2 linked regions of the Daphnia pulex genome follow. Each later gene encodes a partner of the first gene's protein in a complex. Links are inferred from orthologs where the notes say so. Each region holds a gene or a part of one and is shown on either strand. Other genes may lie near its edges. The genes, in order: exosome complex component RRP45-like and exosome complex component RRP46-like.

The links.
Region 2: exosome complex component RRP45-like (region 1) and exosome complex component RRP46-like share a complex: the UniProt entries of both Homo sapiens proteins name them as parts of the RNA exosome core complex. The link is inferred for Daphnia pulex from reciprocal best matches to the Homo sapiens genes EXOSC9 and EXOSC5.

The regions. Positions count from the first base shown.
Region 1 is NC_060019.1:12,894,551-12,898,842, forward strand, and holds the start of exosome complex component RRP45-like, read left to right. Parts: upstream 1-1,365; 5' UTR 1,366-1,505; coding exon 1,506-1,571; intron 1,572-1,637; coding exon 1,638-1,732; intron 1,733-1,803; coding exon 1,804-1,976; intron 1,977-2,041; coding exon 2,042-2,312; intron 2,313-2,373; coding exon 2,374-2,598; intron 2,599-2,661; coding exon 2,662-2,936; intron 2,937-3,015; coding exon 3,016-3,053; coding exon of another isoform or gene 3,054-3,074; exon of another isoform or gene 3,075-3,129; coding exon 3,130-3,270; 3' UTR 3,271-3,283; coding exon of another isoform or gene 3,284-3,406; 3' UTR 3,407-3,433; intron 3,434-3,482; coding exon of another isoform or gene 3,483-3,731; intron 3,732-4,000; coding exon of another isoform or gene 4,001-4,058; intron 4,059-4,101; 3' UTR 4,102-4,112; coding exon of another isoform or gene 4,113-4,258; 3' UTR 4,259-4,292. Other genes in the region: protein FAM92A-like, read right to left, coding at 55-619, 685-813, 881-982, 1,065-1,105; histone deacetylase complex subunit SAP30 homolog, read right to left, coding at 3,284-3,406, 3,483-3,731, 4,001-4,058, 4,113-4,258. UniProt on the Homo sapiens protein: Non-catalytic component of the RNA exosome complex which has 3'->5' exoribonuclease activity and participates in a multitude of cellular RNA processing and degradation events.
Region 2 is NC_060020.1:3,912,664-3,915,934, reverse strand, and holds exosome complex component RRP46-like, read right to left. Parts: upstream 1,869-3,271; 5' UTR 1,720-1,868; coding exon 1,632-1,719; intron 1,543-1,631; coding exon 1,429-1,542; intron 1,368-1,428; coding exon 1,246-1,367; intron 1,180-1,245; coding exon 1,039-1,179; intron 957-1,038; coding exon 765-956; 3' UTR 731-764; downstream 1-730. Other genes in the region: serine/threonine-protein kinase D1-like, read left to right, coding at 2,779-2,910. UniProt on the Homo sapiens protein: Non-catalytic component of the RNA exosome complex which has 3'->5' exoribonuclease activity and participates in a multitude of cellular RNA processing and degradation events.

The sequences.
Region 1 (4,292 bases):
AAAATCCATATCACAGAACTGATCAACACTCCAAGATTTAGTATGAATAGATACCTCGGCTCGCTGTCTGTAATCAGAGAAAGACTTGGAACGTTTGACCTTGGACGCAGTTTCTGTTGGTGTGTTAGGCAACGCAATTGACGGCACAGATTGGGCTCTGGCAGGACTGGATTCTGGAAGAGGCATATAGGTCCTTAAAGTGTTGCGGAATTCTTCCAAATCTGATTCCACATCGACGTTTTCCAACTGCTGATAGGCTTTTGTAAGAACGGACAACGACGTTGAGTGAAAACTCATTTCGATTAAAGCCAATCGCTTCATCCAGCTAATAAGATCCTTGAGCTTCTTCTTTTCGAGCTTGTCGGCTCGTTCCTCTATAGACTTGCCTAGTCGGACAGATTGTGTTGTGGCGTGTGCTAAATCACTTTCCGCTTTGCTTATTTGCATTCGTCCCAACGGGTTTTGCTGCCGTAACTTGTGAACGTATTTTAATTGACTTATTTCTTTTTCGTACGCAATGCTACAGCTTCGGACGTCCTCCATGGCCGACTTGCAGACGCCCGCGTAACTTGAAATCTCTTGGATGACAGTTTCCTCCAAACGGTTAACGCAAACATCTCTTTTTAAAAATAAAGTCGGTTAATTAATTTGACTAATTTTTTCGTTACGAATTCAAACTCTTACCTGTAATCTGAAATGAAAGAAATGTTATCGGCAAAGTCTTTGATACCTTGACTGCAATTTTTGTTGACATTTTCTGCTGTAGCGTACTCATTTAATGTCTGTGCCAGAAAATCGCCTTTATCCCGCTGACTGAATTTAGATTTCACAGGTTATGTTTATTACGAACACCATCGAATTAAGGTATAATTAAACTAACCCGGCTATTTTTCTAGTGTATAACGCTAGAGCGGTGCAGATCTCACCAAAGTGTTTTTCGATTACTTGAATTCTATTTTGTATGAAGCGCGTTTGGGTTGCACTTCAAGATTTACAAGGGTTGGAAACAAGAAATTATGTACATGTTTAAGATTTTTCTTAAATTACAGCAAAGATAAATTTACCTTGAGTGTGGCAAAGAGCTGGCGCTTGGTGAACGAAACATTGTTTTTTCAGCGTTTATAAGAAAAAATACTATTCTTCCGTGCTTGTTTTGATTTCCATGTTTCCGTAACCGTGGTAACGGATCGTTCCAAATTTTAAACGCTGCTGCTTGGTTTGCTTCAAAATATTGGAAATAATTGTATTATTATAAAATTTAAGTTTTTTTTAATGAAAAATTATCTTTCCTGATATTTAGGAATAGAAGTTAAGATAATCATAAATCTATCTAAATCTAGAGAAAAGATTTCGAGTGGCAACGTTGTCTGTCATTCACGCACGTGGTCTGCTTAAATATTGTTCTTTTTCAGTCGGGCAGAATTATTCGTTCTTTTTATTTCCATCGTCAAATAGTGCTTAATTCTTTTATACACTGGTTTAGTTATCAACTGTTTATATTTAAAATGAAAGAAACACCGCTATCGATTTGTGAGAAACAAACTGTAATCCAAGGCGTCAAAGAAGGACAAGTATTTCTCACAGGTCTAGTTGTTGTTTTTCGAATTTTGTTAACATTGTTTACGATTCATTCTTAGAGAGTTGACGGGCGTAGTCTCTCGGAACAGAGAAAGACTTGTATTACATTCGGAACAGAATGGGGATGCTGCCAGGTCCTTCTTGGAAACACAAGGTATCATGTTTTAGTGTCATTTTTCAGTACTTGTTTCTAACGTGTTTTATCCTTAATGAATCTTTTGTCAGGGTGATGGCGCAAGTTTCTTGCAGTGTCCAAGTCCCGAAATCATCAAGAGCAAATGAAGGCATGCTGTTTATCAATGTTGAAATGTCTACTATGGCAGCTGAACATTTTGAAGCTGGCAGATTAGGACAACAAGGCATTGAAGTCAATAGGCTAGTTGAAAGGTGCATTAAAGGTAATGTACATACATTGCCACTCATACATCAATGGCCCTTATTACATTAACTATTTTAAAAACAGATTCCCGCTGCATTGATTTGGAGAGCCTGTGCATTTTGGTTGAGGAACAAGCTTGGGAAGTGAGAGTTGATATACATGTACTGAATCATGAAGGAAATCTGATTGATGCTGCCACTTTGGCTGCTCTAGGCGCTCTTTGTCACTTTAAAAGACCGGATGTAACTCTCGATGGTCGGGATGTTATCATCCATCAGCTAGATGAACGGGATCCAGTTCCACTCACTATCCTACATCATCCTTTAACTCTTTCCTTTGCTCTCTTTAACCAAGGGTAACTAGATCGCTATATTTTGTTTTCCCTTTGGAAAATGTATTTATAACTTTCCCCATAGGAGAATTTGCGTCTTGGACCCAACAAATTTAGAAGAACGTTCTGCCGATGGAAAACTTGTGATGGGTTTAAATGCATACCGAGAACTTTGCACATTACAGATATCTGGCGATGGGGTGTTTATCCATAAAGAAGCAGTTATATCGTGTGCGAATGTGGCAGCATCAAGAGCTGTTCAAATGGTTGAAATGTTAAAAAAATCTCTGGCTGACGATGCCGCCGAAAGGTATTCAGCCTAATTCTTCGGCACCCGAAAGTGAATAACATTCTCTTTTTGCAATATTTGTAGAGCCAAAGGAAAGTACAGTGGGTTAGTTGCTAGCGTAGCGCTGGAAACAGAAAGAATCACCACTCAGTCACAGGCCGAAGTGTATTTCAAGGCGTCACATCATAAGGCTGAAGTATCGAAAAAAGAACCTTCGGCAATCACGAAGACGAAACTTGTAAACGATCAAGGAGTTGTTACATTAGAAACCTCTTGCGATACGTCCAGCAGCGAAAGTGAGATGGAAGTTGAACCACTCCCACCTGTGGCAGTAAAAAAGAGGGTCTACGAAGAAATAGGTAAAAACATTGGTTTCGTCCTGTATCTCGTCTATCGGCATTCAAATCTAATTTTCTCACCGTTTCCTTAATTACATAGATGTTGGAAATGATAGTGAAGAGGAGCCTGTCATGTTGGTAACCAGCGAACTTACATAAAATGACTATGATGCACCGATTAAACCTTTCGTTCGAATGTATTTGAATTTACAAGGTTAAATTAATAATTAAAACATGCCAAGGAGAAAACAACAGACGCACGCATATTTTTGAGTTCCATCCTTTCGCTAGTTCATCATTTCGAAGACAAACGTGCTTTAACGTGATTTGCACTGGGGGAGGGGTTGAAGCATAGACAGACCACGGTTTTACAAGTTGTCATTGTTTGGTTTCAGATCGAGTTTGTTTTTATTAGATTTGACGGTGTAAAGGAATGAGTGGAGGGCTTCCTTCTCCACCACGGGAATAGTCCGGAAATGGCGCATCAAGGTCTATCATTTCAATCACGAGGATTATTGGTAAGTAATTAATAATAATAATAGTAGGTTAACTAGGCAATATCTGTACCTCTGCAAGTTGTGCTTTATTGAGGCCTGGTCGAGTGGGCACTTTGTAATGTCGCTTGTAACGCCTTAGCGTATTGATTTGAAGTTGGAAGAGATCAACTTCTGGAGCATCACGTTCTCTTTCTTGCAGACTGAGCGTGTCTCGATCTGTTTCGTTGGAGTCGTCTTCAGAATCTTTCCTCTTGCGCTGCCGGACTCGAACAGACTGAATTAAGCTCTTGTGGTAATCACAAATATAGATGTGTCTGGCCTATAATTAAGAATAATAATGCACAAGTTAAATAATACTTCATGAATCTTGAATAAAACTGACAAGGGAACATCCACAGTGGTTGTGCCTTTATTGGTCTTCCAAAAGCGGAGGGAATGCTCAGGATTTCCAACACTTTTAAAAGTCCAGGGCAATTTGTGACCAAGTGAAAGCCTAATGCAAAAGACAGGTAATTTCTACTTGGACACGAAGGACCCTTGAATAGGGGGTTTTCTTGTCCCTACTGAAACTTTGTGTGAATAACTTACAGAGGAGTCCATGTGTAGCCGTAGTTTCCTTTGTTGTACAGTCTTTTGAATCCGTTTACTAATCAAACAAATGTTGAAAATAATGTTTCTTGATCAATTAGAGCACACATACCTGTAAGAGGCATTTCCAGCCATTCTAGGACATCTCTCGCCATCGTCAATCATCTGATCAAATTCAATCAGGCAGCAATGTTGATCATGGCTTCGCTTGGAATCACGCGAATCCTCCTCACCCGAACCCGTGCTAAACCCATTCATCTTTGAAATATGCTGAGTGCTCCCTCGCACGATT
Region 2 (3,271 bases), on another chromosome or scaffold:
AAGCAGTGACACTTTCTAAATTATTTGAGTCATTTTGACAATCAACTAATAATTTCTAATCTCTTCAAAGTGTTCTGACCAATTTAGATTCTTTTGTCTAATAATGGACACCACACACAAGATAACGTTTACTTAGCCACAATCATGATTACGATTGCTACTGAAATGGAACAATCGGAAAATAACTCGAAACTGGAATCAGGTGATACATGACTTAAATTTAGAATTGCTTTATTTGTGTTGACTTTGACTTGACAGCCTAATTGGCTAAACTTTCTAATTGAGAAAAACATTTCAAGGCCTATTACCGTAAAGGCTGAAATCGCACTCGATATATCCAGACCACCTTGAAATAAATTTTCAGAATAACCATAAAAGAAATTCCTTTATGCTACATTTTCCGACCGAATAAATCCTAAAAATGGTAGAACTACCTACCATATGTCATTCTAAGAAGAGTTTGTTTCAAAGTTAAGTTTATTTTTTTTCTGATTTCACAATCGGCACTTTTACTATACCTAAATAACTTGTGTCAAAATTGTACCGCATTGCATTGGAGCCAAGCTCCGGGCAGGAAACCTTCTAGATATAGTTTTGGTGAACGTGATTACTCGAGTATTGCTAGATGCGCATGACATATTAGGATGGATTGGTTTTCCGAAGAAATTTAACGATACTGGAAATAAGCAAGCCTATACTTATACAATTATACTTTGTTTTCAGTCGCATATACAAAACTTTAAAATGTGTATTTTTTGAAAGTTTTACAGAAGTTCGTTGGAAAACTTTCGTAGTACTGCTTGCCGGTAGAAATCAAAGATGACGTGACTGGCTTTCTGACACAGCTCCATGGCTTTTTGAAAAAGTTGATAGGGAACTTGGCCTTCACAGTGGCTCAGAATTAAGTTGTATTTTTGACTGTCAAAAGCAAAGGTAAACATTGCTTTATAACCTTCCTGTAATGGGGAAAAAAGTAAGTTAGGCACAACAACAAAAAATGGGGGAAAAAAATTAGTTAATTCTTAGTGGAAATCATACTTTGACTGTGCTGATGCATGGGTCTAGGACAATTCTATCCTTCTTGTCTACCAAACAAGTCACTGCAGCTACAAGACACTGCAGGGGTAAACCCGAGTCAAGAAGTGCAAGGCACACAGCATTGATGGAGGCTGCTAGCAACTAGTTTATGGAAAATGTGAACAACTAATTCTTGATCAAAATAAATTTGTTGTGGTAAGTGCTTACAGTTCCACCATCTTGCATTTCTTGAACTGTTATGCAGACAGCTGTTCGAGGGTGCAGGTTCGTCAAAATAATGTGATTACAAGTGGTCTTGATGAGTTTCTCCTTTCCACGCTCAGCAACACCTAAATAAAAATGCATTCAATATTACAGAAATAATAATACACAGGATAAGTTATTAATAACCTGGCATTCCTGTTTTTGGCTTGTAGTTTAGTTCAATGTACATTCTATCGGACAGTTCCTTTTGAATTTTAGCCTCCAAAGGTCCATAAACTGAAGCCATTACCACAGTATTCCCTGAAATGACAAGTCAATAAAATAAAATTTACCGACTTGGACAAAATAACACGAAAACAGCGTGGAAAAAGTTACAAATCTAAACTTACCTTGAGAAAACATCACCGAGCCATCTGCACGTGACAGTACGCTTTGTTCGCACTTTAAAGCACGAATGCTATTCTCTTCAGTCTCCATGGCGAATAATAATATTGCAAGCAATTCTTTGTGATTGAAAAAGTATTCAATAATTCAGATTAAGAACGCAGCCCTGTTTCTGCATAAGCAACGTGATCGTAAAAAATACATGGGGTTGACGGGTCGGCAACAGCAGTCTGCAGATGTCTCTAAGTTACCATGGCAACCATTTACTTAATCACACAAAATATAACTTTTAACTCCATGAATTTAAAACAACTATTATATTTGTAATAAAGAAGACCTGAAAAATTCACAATTTTCCAATGTAGCTATGAATATGTATTTTTCATGGATTTCGTTCGTTCAGTCACGAGAGAATGGCAACGCTGTTTTTGGCCAGAAAATTGTGAGCAAGCCAAAGACGGATCTCCGAGTAGCGACAGTATTTATTAGCTCGGCAGACTACCAAGTTATCGTGACTTGAGCTGCACGGTCAGAAACACACACACACACGTACGTGAGTCTGTTTCTGCATTTCTCGAGAGAACGTAAAGTGTGCTAGTGTGTGTGTGTGTGTGTGTGATGTTTATACGTGAATTTTTTGTGTGTGCCATCATGATTGGGAAACCTGCGTATTAATTGAATTTAGTTTGGGCATTTCCATTAGCCAGTCCCTCTTATTCGCACCGACTTTTTTCATCACCAACGTGTTATCACGCGTTGTGCTGCTCCCATCTGTGTTGGTTTTAAAACAGTCGTGTTGCTCAGTTTTGTCGTGCAATCAAGTGGAGGTAAAAACCCAACCTTTTTTCTTTGAAGAAGAAAGAAAAGGAAAAATCTAAGTGGTGCCAGGGCGGGAGAACGACGAAAGAAAAGGTGATCTCAGCCCGAGGCTATGTGACATTCCAATCAACCTGTTGGTTGCTGGAACCCGTTTTTTTTTTTTTTTTACTCCATTGCTCCCACCTGATTGCACACACACACACCAACCACACAGACTATTCCAACGAAAAAGGGCCAGTTTTGTGTGTGTGCGAATTTCACTGCCATCCAAAAGTCAAACTTCGCCATAATTGTGATTGTGTTTTTCATAAAATTTTGGATCCAAGCTCCATCATGGATGATGGTAATGGTCAGGTGACCTTTATGTTCCAAGTTGGACTGGTACGAGACTTTATCTCCACGGATGCCTCCCAGTTAACGCTGAAAACGCTCAAAGATTTGGCCTGCAACTTTATTAATCAACGGGTAAGTGTTTTTGAACATTACACGCCGATCCAATTACCTCCACGTCCATGCATCACTATACACCTGACAACGCCTTTATTGTAGTAACCAGAGAGCTTTTTTGTTTTGATTATATTACGTCATCACTGTCGTTGCTTAAGTGTGTTTGCCGTGTATATTTTTGCCTTTTAAGTTGCTAAGCTGTTGTATTCGGAATTTTTCTCCATATTTTCCCATCCACTTCCACTGGGAACTGTTGACACAATCCTGCTTTAAATGATCAATAAGGTTGGATGATTAGAAATAATCTCTTTTCAAGAGGGGGCCAATCGATTTCTTCAGCAGCCACGTTGCGATATTGGATTTAGGATGATTGAGATGG